2 linked regions of the Canis lupus familiaris genome follow. The protein of the gene in region 1 interacts with the protein of each later gene in a pairwise test. Links are inferred from orthologs where the notes say so. Each region holds a gene or a part of one and is shown on either strand. Other genes may lie near its edges.

The links.
Region 2: the proteins of NEDD9 (region 1) and NFKBIA interact in binary tests that used the Homo sapiens proteins (3 or more experiments, as listed by UniProt). The two-hybrid records come from large-scale screens. The link is inferred for Canis lupus familiaris from reciprocal best matches to the Homo sapiens genes NEDD9 and NFKBIA.

What each region holds. Positions count from the first base shown.
Region 1 is NC_049256.1:12,336,281-12,346,582, forward strand, and holds the start of NEDD9 (enhancer of filamentation 1), read right to left. Parts: upstream 4,823-10,302; 5' UTR 4,622-4,822; intron 4,015-4,621; exon of another isoform or gene 3,875-4,014; intron 1-3,874. UniProt on the Homo sapiens protein: Scaffolding protein which plays a central coordinating role for tyrosine-kinase-based signaling related to cell adhesion. As a focal adhesion protein, plays a role in embryonic fibroblast migration.
Region 2 is NC_049229.1:14,261,171-14,271,472, reverse strand, and holds NFKBIA (NF-kappa-B inhibitor alpha), read left to right. Parts: upstream 1-5,589; 5' UTR 5,590-5,717; coding exon 5,718-5,944; intron 5,945-6,524; coding exon 6,525-6,633; intron 6,634-6,976; coding exon 6,977-7,187; intron 7,188-7,472; coding exon 7,473-7,561; intron 7,562-7,692; coding exon 7,693-7,953; intron 7,954-8,274; coding exon 8,275-8,322; 3' UTR 8,323-8,859; downstream 8,860-10,302. UniProt on the Homo sapiens protein: Inhibits the activity of dimeric NF-kappa-B/REL complexes by trapping REL (RELA/p65 and NFKB1/p50) dimers in the cytoplasm by masking their nuclear localization signals.

The DNA of each region.
Region 1 (10,302 bases):
TGTACAGGACATGTTAAGGCCAAAGGTGCTCTCCCTGGGGCGCCCGGCTGGGCTCAGTCCATGGAGCCTGCGACTCTTAATCTCTGGCTTCTAAGTTCGAGCCCCACGTTGGACATTGAGATACTCAAAAATAAAAGCTTAAAAAAAGGGGGGGGGCTCTCACTGTAGTTGTACTGGGTCCTTTCTCTAGGTGGGATCTCAGAAGGGGATGGGGAGGCCCCTGAATGGGTATGCGAGAGAGCGAAGCGCAGGTGTCTAGGATGAAATGGGGGACATGGGATGACATGACCTGAGTATCCACGGCGTTGTGTAGCAGGTTGTGTCCGCTTCAGTTTCCTCCAGAAGCGGACCCTGACTCAGATTCAAGTGCATATGGTTTAACAAATGATGCCAGGACAGCCTGTCGGGGAGTAGGGAGTAGGGGAGGGGTAAGGAGAAGGGAAGGGCGCATTATGCAGCCAGCTACCACTGTGGGCAACTGAGCGTGAGCTCGCGTAACAGCTTTGGGGCAAAGGTAAAAGACACGTCTTGGAGTCACTCTGCTCGGGCCTGAGGATGCTGGGATATTTATGGCCCATTGGACAGTTTCTGGGCATTTTCATTTGCCTTTAAGCGATTACAGTGGCCCTACCTGGCTTAGAGAGAGTTCTCAGGTCCTGAGATAAAGATTCAGGCTGTCAGGCGTTAGGCCAGTCCTGGCAAACCATGGGATGCTGGATTCTAGGAAATAAACTGAGGGTCGCTGGAGGGGGTGCGGGGGTGGGAGATGGGGTAACTGGGTGATGGGCATGAAGGAAGGTACGTGAGGTAATGAGCACTGGGTGTTACAGGCAACTGAGGAATCACTGAAGTCTGCCTCTGACACTAACAATACGCTATATGTTAACTAAATTGAATTTAAATAAAGAATTTTTAAAAAAAGGGGGGACGCCCACCTGGGTGGCTCAGTGGTTGAGCATCTGCCTTTGGCCCAGGGTGTGATCCTGGGGTCCTGGGATCGAGTCCCACATCAGGCTCCCTACTTCTCCCTCTGCCTGTGTCTCTGCCTCTCTCTCTGTGTCTCTCATGAATAAATAAATAAAATCTAAGAAAAAACCATTTTTTAAAAAAAGGAAACAATAATAAAGGGATGTCCCCAAGGTGTGAGCAGTTTGTAAGAAAGACTATTATAGGAGTAATCATCCTCTTAACTATGAAAAAAAAAAAAAAAGAAGTTAGTCCAATCCTGATGAGGCTGGAGGAATAGAAGTAGGAAACTGACTGCTCTTACTACACCCTCCCTCTGCTAGAAATTTAAAAACCCTGTCCTGTTTAATCCTTACCAGAGCATCCAAGTGAGCCAGTTCTCATTTACACACAGAGAAAGAGGCACTGGGAGCTGCTTTATTTGCCCAAAGTCATGCAGCCTGTGTTCCACTCCTCTAGTTACACCTTCCTAGTCTTTTTTTTTTTTTAATATTGAAGTAAATTCACATAACATCAATTAGACATTTTAAAGAGGACCATTCAGCAATATTCCTATATCCACAGTACCAGGCAGCCGCCACCTCTATCTAGAGCCAAACCATCTTCATCACCCTACAAGGTGGCCTTGTACACATCAAGCCCTTGCTCCTCACTTCCCCTCCCCCAGCCCCCAGCAGCCACCAATCTACATCTGTCTCTATTGATTTGCCCATTCTGGATATTTCTTATAAATGGAATCGTGTGCTTTTTGTGCCTGGCTTCTTTCATTGCAGCATGGTGTTTTTGAGACTTATCCATGCTGGAGCAGCAGGCATAAGTACTTTTTTCTGTGTGTGGCCGAGTCATACTCGGTTGCATGGATATACCACGATTTGCCTCTCCGTTCATCCGCTGACGGGCACACAAGCTGTTTCCCCTCCTGGACTATTGTGAATAGTGCTGCTATGAAAGTGTGGGTACATGTATTTATTTGAATCTTTGTTTTCAGTTCTTCTGGATGTATAAGTAGGAGTAGACTTGCCGGGCCATGTGTGATAATTTTGTATTTAACTTTTCGAGGAACCATCCTACTCTTTTTGGAGGGACCCTTCTCCTCTATTTAAATGTTAGAATTTGGGACACCTGGGTGGCTCAGTGGCTCAAAGGAGTATCTGCCTTTGACTCAGGTCATGATCCCGGGGTCCTGGGATTGAGTCCCACATCGGGCTCCCCACAGGGAGCCTGCTTCTCTCTCTGCCTATGTCTCGGCCTCTCTCTCTGTGTCTCTCATGAATGAATAAAGATAGGCTCTTTTTAAAAAAAAGTTAGAATTTCTTGAGATTCAATTCTTTTTTCTTCTTTCTTTCTTTCTTTCTTTCTTTCTTTTTCTTTCTTCTTTTTTTTGTTAGATTGTATTTATTTAAGAGAGAGAGAGAGAGAGCACAAGCAGTGGGGAGGGGGATGGGAGAGGAAGAGAGAATCCTAGGCAGACTCCATGCTGAGCACGCCCTACACAGGACTTGATCCCATGAACCTGAGATTATGATCTGAGCCTAAATCAAGAGCCAGACGCTTAAGTGACTGAGCCCCCCAGGTGCTTCTTCCTTGAGGTTCAATTCTAAGCCACTCTCCTGCTTTCTCACTCAACACTTTCCTGCAGGTCACCCGTACCCACGGCTACACTTACCAACCCCACGCCTAGGATCCCCAGACCTCTGCTCAGAGCTCTAAATATTGGTCAGTGTCAACCGGCTGGCTGACATCTACCACTGGATCGATTCTAGAACTGAACCAACCCTGGCCTGGTCCCGACCAGCTTCGCCAGTCTCTGTGATCGCCAAGGAGCATCAGCATCCACTTGGATGTGCAAACCAGGAACTGGGGGTTGTCTTGGATACTTTCCCTCCCAACTCCCCTTTTCTGTCTACCACCAAGCACTGTCGATTTTCCTTTCTAAATGACTTTTAACTTTGTGCAGTCCTCTCTCCGCTGCCATCTCTCTTAGCCATACTCACATAGATACTCTTGCTTGGCTGACTCCATCCACCTTCTCATTGGTCTCCCTGCCCATAGGTGTAGCCCCCTCCCATCCATTCTCCAAACCTATCAAAAGGGATTTCTTAAGAATGCAGATCAATCTGACCACAACACCTCTACCTTCTCCATGGCTTTTAGAGTAAGCAGCACCTTCTCTGCTGGGCCTCTGGGCTCATTTTGAGCCACTCCCCACTTCCCTCCTGCTGCACTGGCCTTGGTTTTGCCAGGTGATTCTGTGGTCTCCTACCTCAGGAAGTGGTCTCCACTGTTCCCTCTACCTGGAGCGTAGCCTTGTGCACTCCTACGCCTTTTTCAGTTCTAGTCTCCCCCCTCCTTCTGGAAACCTCCCTGCCTTTCAGATGAGATCAGCTTCCCCCACAATATGTTCTGATCATTATCACATTTGTGTAATTAGTAATTAACGTCTGCTTCTCCCCTGGACCGTAAGCTTTTTGGAAGCGGGACAACATCAATTTTGCTCCATCTAATGTTAAGTTTGGACTTAAACGCAGCTGCCACACAGTGAATACTCACGAGATAGGTGTTAAATACGTGAATTAACTAATGAATGAGAAATGGAACTCCACCTCAAGGCTGATTTCACATCCTTCTCTCTCCTCGGCTCCCCTTTGCCCTATTCTTAAAACAGGAATGTCCTTGAAAATTGGGCGGAATTTCCTCCCAAGCATGGAAGGAAACAGAAACAAGGTTGAAAACCATCTGGCTGGTTCCCAGAGCTCTGTCATGGGCAACTGCTCTTTGAACTCACTCCTGGGTGGGAACCAGCTTCGGGGGGGAGAGAAGACCAGAGAACCCACTCCCAGCTCTCACCACTGGCACAGGGAAAAATATAAACAGCTCACCCATGTCCACACAGTTTGAACAACATGTAACCCTTTTAGAAATGGCTTTAGCCCTTTTACATTGTACGTTTCCTTCATTCTGAAAGAATTTCAGCAAGATAAAAAGGCTGCCTCAAACCCTTTGTGGAAGAAAGGCAATCGAATGAATGAATGAGTTACGCGTGACTTAGTAAGTATTGAGAGAAGGAAGGACAAAGCTGTTGGGGGGGCCGGGTGTGGACAAGTAGAACACAGTGCAATTTGTCCCCAAGCCCTTAGACATGATGCTAATGATGGGGTCTCTGCAGAGCTGGACACGACTCCAGTTCTCAATCATGGTTTCCTGCTCCTCAGGGGTCATTCCCAGAGGGGCTGAAATGGCATTAGAAATGACTCACATCCACCATAAGGTTTAAGTGACAGCCCACACCTGGAAGCCCTGAAATGGTGTCAGAGAAGCCAAAGCATAAGGTAATCCTAGGTAAGCTCTCTGAGGAGGGCAGCAAGAGGGGAGGAGCCGCCCAGCTTCTAGACCAGGAAGCACCTACCCAGGTTGATTTCAAGGCTAGAATCAATCGTGTAGGTTTGGGGTTGCATGCAAGCCCCTGCCTGCAGGTCAACTGGAAAGAAACCTGGAGTCACTCTTCCCTGCTTGGGGCCATTGAGTCCCTCTTGGCTCCAGTCAAGGGGTGTCGGCAGTGGGGAGCACTAACAGATGTCTGACACCAACTCAGGAAGTCCGAGTGTGAGTGAGTCTCCCCACCCCCCCAGGCCACAGTGAGTGTCTGGGGACTCACCCGGGGCAGGCCCACTGGTGCTGGCTCATCTGGTCTTCCCTGATGTTCTGGCCCTCTCTCTCTCTCTCTGGCCAGGCAGGCGGGAGGTGACGGCTCAGTCCCGCCTCATGATCCTGCTTCTCTCTTGCTGCAGCCACCAGACTTGCTTCTAAAGGCAGCTGCAAGCATTTCCCTACTGGGCAACCACACACGTAGAATGTGAGTGGCGTCCCTACGTGTGTTTTTCCTTCCGGTTGCTGCAAGTGATGTTGTCTCGGTTCATTTCCTCTCTGTGCCACAGTTGGTTTTTTTTTTTTTTTTTTTTTCTGATACACTGAGGGTGATCTGTAGTTTAGGGACAGGTGAGAAGTCTAGCTCTGATCTGGACTGCTTGCTACTTTAACAAGAGGTGATCTTTATTATCACGATGAAATTCAGGGGAGTGCCATAAGCTCCTTCCTAGGCTGCATGGAAGCAGACATTGGGCTATTGTAAGTCCACCAAATTCAGGTTTTTGTGGTTTTTATGGACTTAATGTATTCTAAAGAGTTCCACTATAGATTGACATGAAACATCTTTTCATTTAACCAGTATTTATTGAGTCTATGTGGTACCTGCTAGCCTTTGGGTACCCACATGGAGAATTCCCATTTCCAGGGTGGTATAGAACTGGAGACTGTGCATTTGGAAGGGAATTTGCCAGCTACTTAGTCTCAGACCTTTTGTCTTCTTGCTGTGTGCTTTGGAGTAGCACCCAAGTGGTATGGTCTGAAGCTAACCACCTGGTGCTTGCCTTTAAATGCTTTTGATCTTTCTGTGACTCAGCTTCCTCATCTGTAAAATGGGAGTAGTCATAGGATTGTTGTGGGAATTAAGTGAGGCGTTACATGTAAAGCACTCAAGGAGTGGCTGCCACAAGTATATGAGTGTTTGCTATTATCATTAGTGGCAAATGTTATTATTATGAGCTCAGTTCTTTGCTTTTTTTGCCTTCTCTTCCCCCTCCTTATCCCTTGCTGATGCCTAGAAATGACTGGGGGACAGAGAGGATGGAGGAGAGAGGGAGACGGTTTGAACAAAAGTGGCATGGGATGCTCCTGTTTGCTCTAGTATCAAGACAAGTAAAGCACTGTCCTCGGCCCTCCCTTCATCCTCGCCCTCTGTTCCTGCTGTATATTGCATACCGGCAACTTCTGTTTTGTTATTGTCATTTTGTTTTGTTTGAATTTTCTGTAATCCTCTCTGAAATTCAGATCCATGTCATTTATTTTAAATGTCGAGCTGGTCTGAATCATATTAAGGAAATACTTGCCCATAAGCAGATGCCACATTTATTTATTTATTTTTAAAGATTTTATTTATTTATTCACGAGAGAGAGAGAGAGAGAGAGAGAGAGGCAGAGACACAGGCAGAGGGAGAAGCAGGCTCCATGCAGGGAGCCTGATGTGGGACTTGATCCCAGGACCCCGGGATCACGCCCTGGGCTGAAGGCAGACACTAAACCACTGAGTCACCCAGGGATCCCCAAGATGCCACATTTAAACAAAGAAACAAACCCTCAGCTCAAAGCCTTGTGTAATTAGGATTTATAAATAAATCAATAAGAAGAATATCTATGGCAATCTTCATACACATGTTGTATCCATAGGTGTAATTAGCAATATTCATGGTAAAAATATCATCTGTTTATCTTTCTCTCTTTTTCTTAAAAAAAAAAAAAAACTACTCTTGTGTACATGCTGCATATCAGGAACTGTTTCCAGATTAGAGGTAGAATTATCCTATTCTCAAGTTTTTATTTTATAGTGCAGCGTATCCATACTAAATCGAGTGGAGCAGAAGCATAGACTGTACATATTTTTTTTCCAACATGTCCCTCCATGCATTTCCCATTCTTCCATAACCTGTGATATTTTCTCCATTAGATATTTAAGCAGTCTGAATTTAAATGTATCAATTTCAGAAAAAATAACTTACAGTTATACATAATACCTCAAAGGTTAATGCTGTCGAGTTGTCTCCATAAGTCAGGTACACCCTAGATATACAAGAAGGTGGAGCTTGACTTTTTATACATAAAACATTTGAATTTCTCACCTTGATTATCCTTAATTCTGTTCTTTTGTCTACATCCTCATGGCCTCCTTTCCCACTTGGAGCTGCCTGCATATCTCACGCCTGAGGGCTTCAGAATGGAGAGAGAGAGAGAGAGAGAGAGAGAGCATGTCTGTCAAGGCAAACTGAGGAGCTCACACTTTGTCCAAACACAGATCACACTTGTTCTAGAAAAACAAATGAGATGTTTTTTTCCCACTTGGAAAGATGAAGATTCCTATGTCTGTTTTCCTACTTAGAATTTTTTCCTTCTTCTTTTTTTTTTTTTTTTTTGGTTTATTTTCTTCTTTCTTGATTAGTGACAGGTTATATCATGTGTCAGGATTTTGACAAAGCCCAGAGAGTTCTGACAACAAACAAACAACTGTAATTTCTAATCACTCTATCCAATGAAGACCGTGTTTACATTTTCATTTTTATTTAAACAATCTTCTTGACTACTTTAATTAGCTTCTTCATGCCGGCTCGGTTAGCACCACAGAATGGTTTATAACTACCTGTTAAGCAGTAGCCAAATCCCAGGCAACTGTTTTGAATTTGTCATGGGTGTTTGGTCCAAGGAGAGACTGTTGTATGGAGTGGAGTCTAAGGGGTGAGGAAGGCAGAAGGGAGGAGTATTAGAGAAGATAAAAAGTAAAAAAAAAAATCTATGGCCAAGTTTTGTGTGTGTGTGTGTGTGTGTTTGTGTATTTATGATTCCATTTGTGTGACTCATTTCCCTCCATGGCCGAATACAGTATTAGCCATAGGGAATCAGCTACCCACTGAGGAATTTAAATGAATATGCCCAAGAGTTGGTTTGGCAAATTTTAAGAGCAAACTTGTCTGGTATTATAATGTGTGCCTCATCCCTTCTCAGGAATGGGAGTCAATCTTGTGGTTTTCATTTTTAGATGAAGAAATCAGAGCTCAGAAAGATCCAGTTCATTTGTCCATTCAGCAGCTGTTGCCTACCTGCACACTTCCGTGAGCTTTCCCAGGCATGTTCGGTATACTAGTCCCAAGACACAGGGCTTGTCTTCAAGATAATCTGGTGAGAAAACCATTCCCATGAATTGGTTCACTCAAATACTAAAAGCATTAATTGAGCAAGTGCTATGATAAATAAAAAATGAATGACAATCAGCTCCTCCCTTAAGAGAGACTGCTGACTAGTAGGCCTAGGAAAACAAACTCTACCCATCTTCCTTTTCTGCTCTCTTGCCACTTAACAACCCTCTTTTGCCCTTATCACAGGACATCTTTGTCTTTCCCCTCATCCATTCTCCCAGTTTATCAGCCAAGTCCCCAGACCCCAGTCCCAGGACCTCACGACCAGCTATTTTGGCAATGCATTAATGTTGATTTCCTCGTTCCTATTCTTCTGCTATTTGTGCATTTCCAGCCATGAGTGGAAGCTCAGTCTACTTTCATGCTCCAGAGTCACCCAGCCTCGCTGGCAGAAGTTGAGAAAGGCTGATTTGTCTCCTTGCAGATTCTCCCCCAACAAGCCCCATTGAGGCCCTTCTGCAGCTTGGGAATCTTCTCGTGCATCTCCCACAGACTATCTGTGCAGTTTTCTTTCCATTCTTTTCCCCACCCACCCTCTAGCAGCTCTGTGCCCAGCCCTCACCTGGTGCCACGTGGAGGGTAAGGGCTGATGTGAGTTCTAGCGACTGCATGGTCTCTGCAGACCTTGGCTCTCATATCCTCCTGTTCCTCATTTTCTGCAAATTCTCCAACCCTTTGAATTATAGCTTCTAGCATTGCCGCCTGACTAATAATACGAGTCAGAACTACCTTCTTTTATGTTTATCCTTAGGAGGAAAGTGACATTTGCAAAGATGAAACCATTCTTCTAGTTCACAGAACAGCTGTCTGAAGAAATGTGGACACCTGGAGGGACAAAGGGAAGAAAGACTAAATTATTTTTAAGAGGTCACTGATGGCAAATTTAAAAGGTTCCAATTTATTGGAAGCATTCGTTGCATTTAGACATCTGTCAAACAGCAAGCACTTACTTCTCCATAACTTGTGTCCTGACTACCTATCCCTCTTCTGGGTGGTAGCTAATTTTGGCTTCCCCCCAAAATAATTGGGAAAATCTTGTTAGTATTGATTTTTTCATAATTAAAAAATATTTTATTTATTCGAGAGACACACACACAGAGAGAGAGAGAGAACAAGCGGGATGAGGGTAGAGGGAGAAGCAGACTCTCACTGAGCAGGGAGCCCTATGTGGGACTTGATCCTGGAACTCCAGGATCATGACCTGAGCTGAAGGCAGATGCTTAACTGACTCAGCCAACCAAGTGCCCCTTTTTCATAATTTTTTAAATTCATGTTTTAAATCTAAAAGTAATAAATTTATATGGTAAAAAACTAATATTGCAAGTAAAACTAAGGTGCCTTTTGACCATCAGCTTTAATTTCAATTCCCTCCCTGCTTTGCCCGCAGTGAATCCCTGCTATCTGTCTGGGATGTATTCTTCTGGGACATTTTTTGAGTATTTATGTGAATATATATAAGCACTGTCAGTTTGCAGTTGGGCACACGTGCCACCCCGCCCTTGAGCGTGCTTGTGCACACATACAGAACACGAGACTGAAACCATTCTATTGCACTCGGTTTCTGAGGGAACTGTATAAACTGCTATTCTGGTTTCACATGCAAATAGCAATTTGAAAACAACATCTTATTCATGAGAATATAAAAAATAAAACAACGTGGCTGCCGTGGATGGTTGAAGCAATTGGACTCCTCTGTGGGTCAGACTTTTGCTCATTTGAGTTCTAAATATAGAAAAACGAGGATTTATGCCCAGCTGGTTGGTCTCTGAGTGGAGACTCCCAGATCAAATACCATAGGTCCAGTAGTCATTTGTTAAGGTGAATTTCTGGACTTCCCCCTCTGCCTACATGATCCCATAGCCAAAACTCAAGTCAAATCACGCCTCTCCCTAGGTAGGTGTGTGGCTCCTGACCACAAGCCCAGGCCTTGGCAGGGACTGCCATGCACTATTTGTAATCATTTCTAGCCAATTTTCTCTCTATACTAGCTGGCTCGTTATCTTTCCTCTTCCTTGAATATTTTCTATCTTCTCACTTGTCAGAGCAGCCTCCGTGCATAACCACATAGGGAGAGATGACTACCTCAAAGACTGAGAAATACTTTCTACTGATTCCCAGTACTTGAAACCTCAGCACTGTTTTATTTTCCTTCTAGACCTTGGACAATTATTTTCCACTAATACAATAAAATTTAAAAGAGAACTCCAATTTATTCTTTCTCTATTTTCACCACAACTTCCTATTATATAAGCAAAAGCCTTGCGTCCACATGTTCACAGAAGCCCAAAACCTCAGATCCTCAGTTCTATCTACCTTCTTGCCTTTCCTCCCCTCTTCTTCCCTTCAGGCTCAACTTTCCTGATAGAGGAGTTTACATCCCGTGCCTTTATGTTCACACCTTCCATCCCTTCCTTCCCCATTGCATTTCTTCCATTCAGACACCTGGATCCCACCCCAGCCCTCCATGGAGGTTGTCATTATTGATGTCTTCCAGGGATCCTATGTGATGAAGCCAATACAAAGTCTTTCCCACTGT
Region 2 (10,302 bases), on another chromosome or scaffold:
CTTCCCTGTTCGTTCCCCATCATTGTGTTCATGTGGATGATTAACCAAGTCCTGCAGTCGTGCTGTCACCCCCACCCACAGGCCCTAGCCTCCTGGGTTTTCATTAGTGAATTTCGGGGCACCCCTACTCTCTGTCTCCCTGCTATTTAACTGCTCCTCTAAATTGGCCCAATTTTCAGGTATTAACATTTAAAGATTCGGTGATGCATTAATCAACCTTGCTTTCTGAAAATACTAGTGTTCATGGTAAAATCATCCCTAAACTGTAGCCTACAAACAGCCCTAGGATATAGGAAATAATGAGCATTCCTGAGCCAAGCTAAGTGACTTATCCAGAGGGACATGTCACAGTCATGAGACTAGACCCTGACAGCGGGGACCTGGAGTAAAGGAAAAAAGGTTCCAGGCCAATTTCCCCCTCTCTCCCTTCTCACAGCTTCTGCTTGTGACCCTTCCTACTCTCTCATCTGCTTTGAGTACTTAAAAAATCAGCCTAAAAATAACTTTCAGAATCAGTATTTTTCTAGGTCTCCCCCATTAACAGCCTCAGAAATAAGCCTCCAAGACTCACCTCAATTTCTGATACTTAGCCACATAATCTGGGGCTCTGCTCTAAAAGGAGGCTTGGGAAAGATATTATCTCATGATTACGAGAAGGGGCTGAGGATAAAAGTTCTTAACTATTTGTAATCTGAAGCACATCTTTTAGCGACTACGGCTCTTGTTTACCTCTGTCCTAAACCATTTCCAAGACCTTAGACCACAGAGAGGGGAAAATGTGCACATATAGTTTCTGGTGGCAGATTTTAATTCTGATGCTGAGAGGGATCATGAGCCCTGCACCTGCTTCTAGAGCCTGAGAACAGGGAGCACCTAACATTCATGTCCCATGTCCTGCTAAGTACCAGGCTCTTCTATGGAACTGCCCTAGTGCTGAGCGTCCTCATACCCTGACTAAACTCAGAATGAATTTATACCCCAGACGAAATAGCAAATATACTGGCATGCCAAGGAGGCAGTGTGCTGTTAAGCTTCCACCCCCATCTCCCTGCTCCAACTACTCCGCCCTGAACACAGCAGAACACGAACAACCCCACACACCTATAGATATTGCTTGGTTACTGCCAACAAACAAAGGAAAAGGGAGAGCCAGGAATCTGGGCCAGAGTGACATGAGCAGGCCTCCCTCTGACAGCCAGTTACCCAACAGGCAGACTGGGCACGTGGTTGGGGCAGGAGTAGAGCAGGAATCCAGCAAAATGTTTATTAAAAGGAGTTTAAAATAAATAATTAAAAAAAAAAAACCTTAACAGTCTTTGTGGGAAAAATCAGAACTTTGTCAAATTGGTTATACTTGCTTGACAGTGTAATGCTTGAAAGTTCTTTTGAGGGGCAGAGAACTACTCTTTTCAGGGCTTAGAGCTTCTGATTGCAATCCTGCCTGCCAGGAGCAAGCCAAACCTTCTGGACAGACCACTTCGGTGCCCCCTCCAGTTCCACAGAGGAACAGAGACCCTGGAATACCAAGGGAGCCAAAGGCTGGGGCCTTGCCCCAAAGCACCAAAAAGACATCATATGTCAGCTGAAAGAGAGGTTGTAAACTCAAAGCCCGGGGGCTCAGTTTAGCCAGAAGATGCAGAACTGCACTTTGTTTGATTCTCATGTTTTACAATTTTCACATCAAAATCCACTTTCTGAATTTTTTTTTTTAACAGTGGACTATCAGTACCGAATTTCAAATGCTGCTTGACAACAATCGTTTGAGCTGAGTGTGAGGGACATGCTCGCCTGGGTCTAGTCTGTTAGAGAGGCCACCAACTCCCCTTGGACTCGTTCCTTTGGCTGGCCTCATTCCATTGTGGAGCCCGCCTGCCCCCTAAAAGGTAGATATTTGCGCTTAAGACCCTTTAAAGCTTTAATCCCCCGTTAAATTTGCAGAATTTGTAGCAAAAGAAACACATGAAGGCTTTGACAGTGTTCCTTTTAAGGCATGACAAATGAAAGTCCTAATGGTCTTTCTTCAGGAGAGATCCAGAGCTTGGGGGCTCCAAGTTCTGAAAGGGATGGATGGAGGTGCTTGCTAATAACCAGAGGAGGAAAAAAGACAGGGCCTGGGATCAAAAGCAGAATATAAATGCAGAATTTCACCGTGGGGCTGTCAGTGGTGTACTTGACTTCAGGACTGTGCCATGGCTCCCTTTTCCCCCGCCTGGCTTTATCAGGCAACAGGTAGCCCTTTCCAGGAGTTTAAGTTGCTGGGGCTAAAATAATGTTAGTTTAATTGGCCAGGACAACTGGCACAGGACACCCTGTCCATGATGTTAAGCCAAATATATTGGCCCATGTACCCTGCTGCTAGGCCGTTGGGCACTTCAGACAGTAGGTATAGTCCACACTGTGCATTTCCCTCTCAGGAGGGTTGTGTGAAGGGCCTGCATTCCCTCAGGCCTCTGATAATGCTCCTTCCCCGACAGGGGTGCTCCTGCCCAGAGTGAAGCCCACTGAGCATCACTGGCCATCCTGTCATTCCTTATGGCTACATCCTGAGCGAAAATATAAAACCCCTTTGAGGTTAATGTACTCTTTCTTCTGTCTCTTGCATGAAAAAGAAAAAAAGCCAAATGACATTTTAAAAATGAGTCATCTAAGATTTTAACAACTTCACAATGTCGGCGGGCAAACTCTAAATGTCCAAGAGTCCATAAATGTCTTTCTAAACCAATCATCAGTTTAGCTGCCTTCTTTTGCCCCAGCTGCTCATGTTTTCCAATTTCCAAGTATGTTCTTTATCATCCAAATTGTAACGTTTGTTGATTTAAACCACATAGAGCTCTATGTGGTAGTGAGGAAAACACGTTGGGTCACATTCAAAACTGCCTCCTAGGTGGCAGAAAATCATATGGTACCTCCTTGGGAATCCCTACCACAGGGACAGGTCATCAAGCCTCTCAGCGCCTCCCAAAATTTCCAAAAGCCTCATGACAAATCAGGAAATGCCTGGGCCTGACTCTTACCACTAGGTGTCACACTACACAATGAGGAATAAAGACCCATCAGGAACCTGAAGCAAAAAAAGGAAAAAAGCTATTGAAATAGATATTTTTATTCATGCATGATTTTCTTTCTTAATGGTCATTTTTAAACCTGCAGCTAAAAATCCTCTTCTAAGGTAGATAAGTGGGGCCTTTAAAATACAACTTTTCCTTCTTTCTTCTTCTCCCCCCCCCCCAGACACGAATATTCCCAGATAGGGGAACATCAACCCTCTATTTTACCTAATGCTTGGAGTAGAAAATATTTTGAGTATCGTCTTCAAAGATTACAGTGCATTCAGCCTCATTTCTACGATGTGTTTTCAAAAGTGTTAATACTACAACTGCTTTGGCCCAATGATTGATACGTTGGAATAGAAATTAGATAAACTGCCATCGGGTGCCTCGGTAAATTTCTTTGCATTTCAGTCTCTTTTGGGGAAAGTAGGAACTATACCTAACAAGAGGAGTTCTGAGAACTAACAGTGTATTGCAGTAAGTGTTGGGAATCCTTCTAAAAACATACTGTGATATTTCTAAGAGACATGGTCACCCTGAGGCAGTTATTATGTATCTGTGGACAAGTAATAAAATTTTTAAGCTGGAGAGAAACCTTAAATGACGTTAAATCCAATGTTATTATAAAAGCCGGTACACCACAGCAAAGTTAACTGATCTCTCCAAATTAATATGTAATTAATTAGAGGTAGAGCCTGCAATTGAGATTTATTTATAGCTGTTGTGCCCTGCCTCAATAATTGTATAGTTTGTATATTATATGCCTGCAGAGACAATGGAGTCTATCTTTGGAAGTTTTCATTATAACATGTGATCATTACTATCCTGAAGGTTGTTGTTGTTGTTTTTAAGATTATTTATTCATGAGAGACACAGACTGAGAGGGAGAGGCAGAGACACAGACAGAGGGAGAAGCAGGCTCCTTGCAAGGAGCCTGATGTGGGACTCGATCCCAGATCCCGGGATCACGACCTGAGCTGAAGGCAGGCATCCAACAGCTGAGCCACCCGGGCGTCCCTATCCTGAAGGTTTTATTTCTTGATTTTAGGGCTTTTATCCCCCCTTATATTTTTTTTATCTCACTCCCCCGACCCCGGTTCCCTAAATTCAGATAGTCGGGAGGAGTGGAGGGAGAAGAGATGAGCAAAGGGTTGGTTAGTATATGGCCAGTCAAGTTAAGATGATTGCAATATAATCACCAGAAATTTCTGCAAAATTATAAAGCCTCCTGGAGCTAGTTCTGAAAAACTCTGACCTGAGTTGCTTCATTTTGCCTGGACCAATTCTAGAGATAGAAAAATTCTGTTAGAGGCTGGTTGGCTAGGAGAATGGGGGTAGGGTGGGGAACGTAAGTTATATTTCTGCAGGTGAAACCAAAGGATGAGGAGCCCATAGGGGCTATACACAGCGCCTGGAGAGGTCCAACTGCTGCCCTCTCCAGGGCAGGAGAGCAGGGAGCCAGCAAGAGGGTAATGTTAGGTTGGCGGGAGGGTGGCCTTCTGTAGGATGCTTTGCAATCTAAACCATCCTTAAGGCCCAATCTTGGGTAAGGCACTTCTCAACCTATTCTTCAGCCTCTTCCAAATGCTTCTGGAAAGACACCGGCTGGGTACCCAGAAGTAGGCTCTGCAGCAGCACAGTGCAAATCAGGAAACATGACCTCAATAATTATTTTGTTCGTGCAGGGCAGCTAGCTACAACCTCTACTACAAAGATTAACACCTTGCTTTACCTGAAAAAAAGTATGGTCCTGTTCAGCGTTTTCGCTGAACACAGGGCAGAGTGCTTGCCTCTCCACCAGTCAACAGGAATGTTAATCCCGAGGAAATGATTTGAGGGTTCTCCAAGCATTTCAATGCCAAAAAATGCCAAAAGCTTTTTGGCTTTTAATGCCAAAGCATGCACAACTTTTACCTGGTTGGGGGGGGGGGGGGGCCTCGAGGGAGTGCTACGTGTGTCCCCGCGCCACAAAGAGCCTGGCATTGGCAGGGTGGCAGAGGCAGCCGGCGACCTTCTAACCCGCCAGTGCGTCCTTCCCCGCAGAAGTTTGGGGAAGCAAATCCCTACGTCCAGCCATCATTTCCACCCGAGTTTTCAAAAGATCAAGAAACGGAAAGGTTGGCAAACCCCAAGGAGGAACTGCCTGGCGGGTCTGCGTTCATTGGGATCTCAGCAGCCGACGACCCCAAGTCGAATCGATCGTGGGAAACCCCAGGGAAAGAAGGCCGCTTGCAGAGGGACAGGATTACCGAGTGCAAGCTGCAGGGAAGTACCGGGGGAGGGGGCCTCGGTCGGGAGGACTTTCCAGCCGCTCAGCGTTCATCAAAAAGTTCCCTGTACATGACCCCAGTGGCTCATCGCCGGGAGTTTCTCTGATGAACCCGGCTCAGGGTTTAGGCTTCTCCCCCTTCCTCCCCCTCCCGAGCAGAGGACGGGGCCAGTTCTCTTTTCTGGTCTGACTGGCTTGGAAATTCCCCGCGCCTGACCCCGCCCCGGAGAAATCCCCTGCCAGCGTTTATAGGGCGCCGCGGCGGCGCTGGCGAGCCCACAAGAGTCGCAGCCAGCGGTCCTGCGTCCGTGACCCTGCGAGGCGAGGCGAGGCGAGGCGGCGAGCGCGCAGCCCGCGGCCGAGCGCACCTGGGCAGCAGCGCCGAGCCTTCCCGCGCCATGCTGCAGCAAGCCGAGCACGCCCAGGACTGGGCCATGGAGGGTCCCCGGGACGCGCTCAAGAAGGAGCGGCTGCTGGACGACCGCCACGACAGCGGCCTGGACTCCATGAAGGACGAGGAGTACGAGCAGCTGGTGAAGGAGCTGCGGGAGATCCGTCTCGAGCCGCAGGAGGCGCCGCGCGGCGCCGAGCCCTGGAAGCAGCAGCTCACCGAGGACGGAGACTCGTAGGTGTCTCGGGGCGGGCGGGGACGCCGCGCCTGCAGCGCGAGGCCGAGGGGCGGCAGCCGACCGGGGTGTGGGCACCGATCCCCCGTACACCCCTGGCCCCGGGACCGCGCAAAGCTGCCGGCTGCGCTGCGGGCAGCAGAGGAGGGTCGGATCCCGGGCTGGCGGTGCAGCAGCCCTGCGCTGCAGCGCGCACCCCCACCCCCCAGCCCCGGTCCGGAGCCGGTCCTGCCGGCGGGGGCGGGGCGGCGGCGGGGACGCGAAGTCCCCGCTTGCACAAGGGGGGCGGGAGCTCCTGCCCCGCGGGCGGGCGCCGGGGGGCCGGGAGGGGAAGTACAGGGCGTTCCGGCCCGGCGGGAGGGCGGGGCGGTCTGGCCGGCGCCCGCCGAGGAGGGAGGGGGCCCGGAAAGTCCCTGGGCGCCTGCCAGGAACACTCAGCTCATAATAACCTCGCGGAAAACACCGCGGCCTCGGCCTCCAGAAACCCCGGCCTTGCGCAATCCCCCGCAGCCCGCGCCTCCCTGGGCCCCACGCGATGCACTCACCAGCCCTGGGGGTTTTTCCCTCTCTTCCCCTTAGGTTCCTGCACTTGGCCATCATCCATGAAGAGAAGGCCCTGACCATGGAAGTGGTCCGCCAAGTGAAGGGCGACCTGGCCTTCCTCAACTTCCAGAACAACCTGCAGCAGGTGCGCCGGCTCGCCCAGCCCTGTGCCTCTGACCCAGTGATGAAGTTGGATCTAGCTCAGTTGCTCCCAATCCTTTCTAAATTAATAATCACTGGGCATTATGTACCTTGACCTTTTTACATTGGAATCGGCCAACGTCCTAGAGAATAAAGAAAATTCTATTGATTTGGTGAGGCCTATGATGAAAGCCCACCTGCGGCCTCTGGCATTTATCTTGCCCTTCATACCTGTCTGGGAGGAGGAGCAGCACCCACAACCAGTAGATCTCCGGAGTTCAAGGGAAGACAGACTCTTGAGTTTGGGCCATGGCTTACCCTCTTTCTATTCCCTCTTGTGTTTGTAGACTCCACTCCACTTGGCTGTGATCACCAACCAACCAGAAATTGCTGAGGCACTTCTGGAAGCTGGCTGTGATCCTGAGCTCCGAGACTTTCGAGGAAATACCCCCCTACACCTTGCCTGTGAGCAAGGCTGCCTGGCCAGCGTGGGAGTCCTGACTCAGACTTGCAGGACCCAGCACCTCTACTCCATCCTCCAGGCCACCAACTACAATGGTATGTCTGCCTGCCCTACCCTGCCCATCAGAAGGCAGGTGACATGGAGAAGGGAGAGGTAGGCCAATGTTAGGAGTCCAGGCAAGAGCTGAAACTCTGAATACTTGAAAGGTTGAGAAAATATGCATGCAAAAGGTCTGTTTCATGCCTTGATAAAGTTCATTCAGAGCCCAGATTCTGGGTTCTCCAAATTCAGAATTTATTCCCTATAAGAATAGACAGAAAGTTCTGCTTGAGATCTGAGGGTTGAAGCAAGTGGTTATATTTGCTTCATTGTTCTTCTAGGTCACACATGTCTACATTTAGCTTCTATCCATGGCTATTTGGGCATTGTGGAGCTTCTGGTGTCTTTGGGTGCTGATGTCAATGCTCAGGTGAGTTCTTCATGTCTCCAGATGGAACGCATCAGGGCTCCAGGCCCTCCTCAATAAGACCTCACATGTTCTTGTTGCAAGTAGAAATTCCAAACTCAACCATAAACATCTCAAATTCCTTTTGGTTTCAGGAGCCCTGTAATGGCCGAACCGCCCTCCATCTTGCAGTGGACCTGCAGAATTCTGACCTTGTGTCGCTTTTGTTGAAGTGTGGGGCTGATGTCAACAGAGTTACCTACCAGGGCTACTCCCCGTACCAGCTCACGTGGGGCCGCCCAAGCACACGGATACAGCAGCAGCTGGGCCAGCTGACCCTAGAAAACCTTCAGATGCTGCCAGAGAGTGAGGATGAGGAGAGCTATGACACAGAGTCAGAGTTCACAGAGGACGAGGTGAGTGTCAACTCCATCGCTCTGCACAAAGCAGTACCCTCCCAGGTCTCTAGAGCTCCTCTTTATCCAAAGAGCTCAATGCAATGAAGTTCTCCCACTTTAGTGTTCATGACCAGGAGTCTCCCAAAAGTGTGTCTTTGTTTTTTGCTCTTTTTAAAGGAGAGGAGCATTAAAGAAAAACTTCCTTAGCCCCTGAGGTTAATTTATACTTGGGTTATGGAGAATGGAATCCAAGAGTACTTGATAATGGCCCTCACCCTTATCCCAGTACCTTTGACAAAACTGGAAGCTTAACATGGCTTTTTTTTCTCTTGTTTTTAGCTGCCCTATGATGACTGTGTGCTTGGAGGCCAGCGCTTGACGTTATGAGCTTCAAAACATATCTAAAAGAACACGGACTTGTATATTTGTACAAAAAGAGAGTTTTATTTTTCTAAAAAAAAGAAAAAAAAAGAAAAAAATCAAAAGGGGGTACTTAAAACCACACTTCACATTCCCTAGCCAGAAACATTTACTATGGTGGATCAGCCCTTGTTATTTTTTGTGAACTTTGGAAGGAGGACAAGATCAATGGAATTCAAAGAAAACCTTGTTCAGAAGTTGCCTTTGTGGGGTTTCTGAAGGAGGTTATGCAAAATGTGACAAAAGGACTACATCGCATTGTGCTTTTTGATTGAATCACCATAGATTCAGTGGCTGTGCCCAGTGTGGGATGCGTGACAACCAGGTGTAATGACCTGGTGTGTCATTAAACCTTGGGGGGGGGGGGCGGTGTGGGGTTAAAAGTCACTACCTGTCAAGGTTTGTGTTTACCCCCCTGTAAATGATGTACATTGTGTATTTTGTTGGTAATTATTTTGGTACTTCTAAGACATGTATTTATTAAACAGATTTTTACAAACAGAATTATCGTGATCATTCTCTTTGGGCTGCCATGGGGCTCCCAACCTGAGAGTCATCCGATCCTCTGGGGAGGTGTAGAGCTGTGTGGGAGTGCTTACCACAGCTAGCTACAAAGCCCTTTCAGAGAGCAGCTTCTCACGCTGTGTAAGCCAGCCTCCCCGCCAGGCTTCGCCGGCAGCCCCAGGGCCCTATGCGTGGGAGAGGAGGCTCTAGCAAGATGATAGGAAACCACCATTCTTAGGTGGTGGGGGTGGGGTAGGGGTGGGGGGCTTCTTGGCCTACAGCTGGAATCCTCCATTGTCATCTGCTTTCATCTTGGTTTAAGCATGCCAGGACTCTTCCACTTTAGGGAATTATTTTGATGAAGAGAAATATGCTTAAATCACATTTTATATTACTGGGAAAGTTCTTAACTATAATACTGGAAGTTCCTAAGGAATGAGCTCAGAAATGGAACACACTAACATTAGCAGGTACCCACCTTTGAGCCTTCATTTCTTAATTTATAAACTGGGCTGTTCTAAAGATTGTACAAGATAACACACGTCTAAAGCAGCATAGCAGAGTGCTAGGCACATGGTGCTAGAGAGAAATGCAAGCTACTGCACAACATCCTGTATTTCAAAGGGGAAGAAACCAGTCCAGAGAGAATGTCCAGTCTGGGGTCACCTTGCAGGAAAGGCAGGTGGTTAACTTCCAGCCCTTGTTTCCAGGTGATTAATATCTTTTAACTGCATTCCACCTCTAAATCAACCTATTGTTACCAGCTGTAGTGAGTGATACTAAAGGCCTAAAGAGTCTTTTCCCCAGCTCGGTCCATCTGCTAATTCTACTGAATCTAACAGAAGTCAAGAACTTGTGAAATTTGAGTTTAAATGCTCTGTATTGACGTTTTCATCCCTAAAAGACATTTCTTGCCTAGGTAGAAAGAGTAGTATAGCCAAGTTCATGGCATTATATAAAATACAGAATGGCATATAAATGCAATCCATGTACTTTGGCTTACACCTAAGAAAACATTGCCATTACATTATCCCTTTCCGGATCCATAAATGCTGTCAAAATCCAGTGAGCATGATGATCACCTTCCTCTCAGACCAAAGAGGAGCCAATACGTAGTGGCTCTTTTAATATATAAAGCGTATATTGATTGTAGATTGGAGTGACCCATCAAAGCCATCCCTGTCTTCCTCCTGCAGCCTCAGTCATTGGAGCCGAGCACTGTGGTGGCCCCGCTACCAGCTTTGTCTTCTCTCAAAGTGCTCCAGGCCCATCACAGAAATTCCCCGTGCACCCCAGAGCCCATGAACACAGGTGCTATGTGATCTAACACATGAATGTTGACCAGGTTCGGCTCTGTCAGCTGATGGGTAGAAGAGGTAGGTAAGAGGGGTGGTGGGGGGAAGAACCATCACCTCATATTCAAACGAACACAGGTTGGAAACT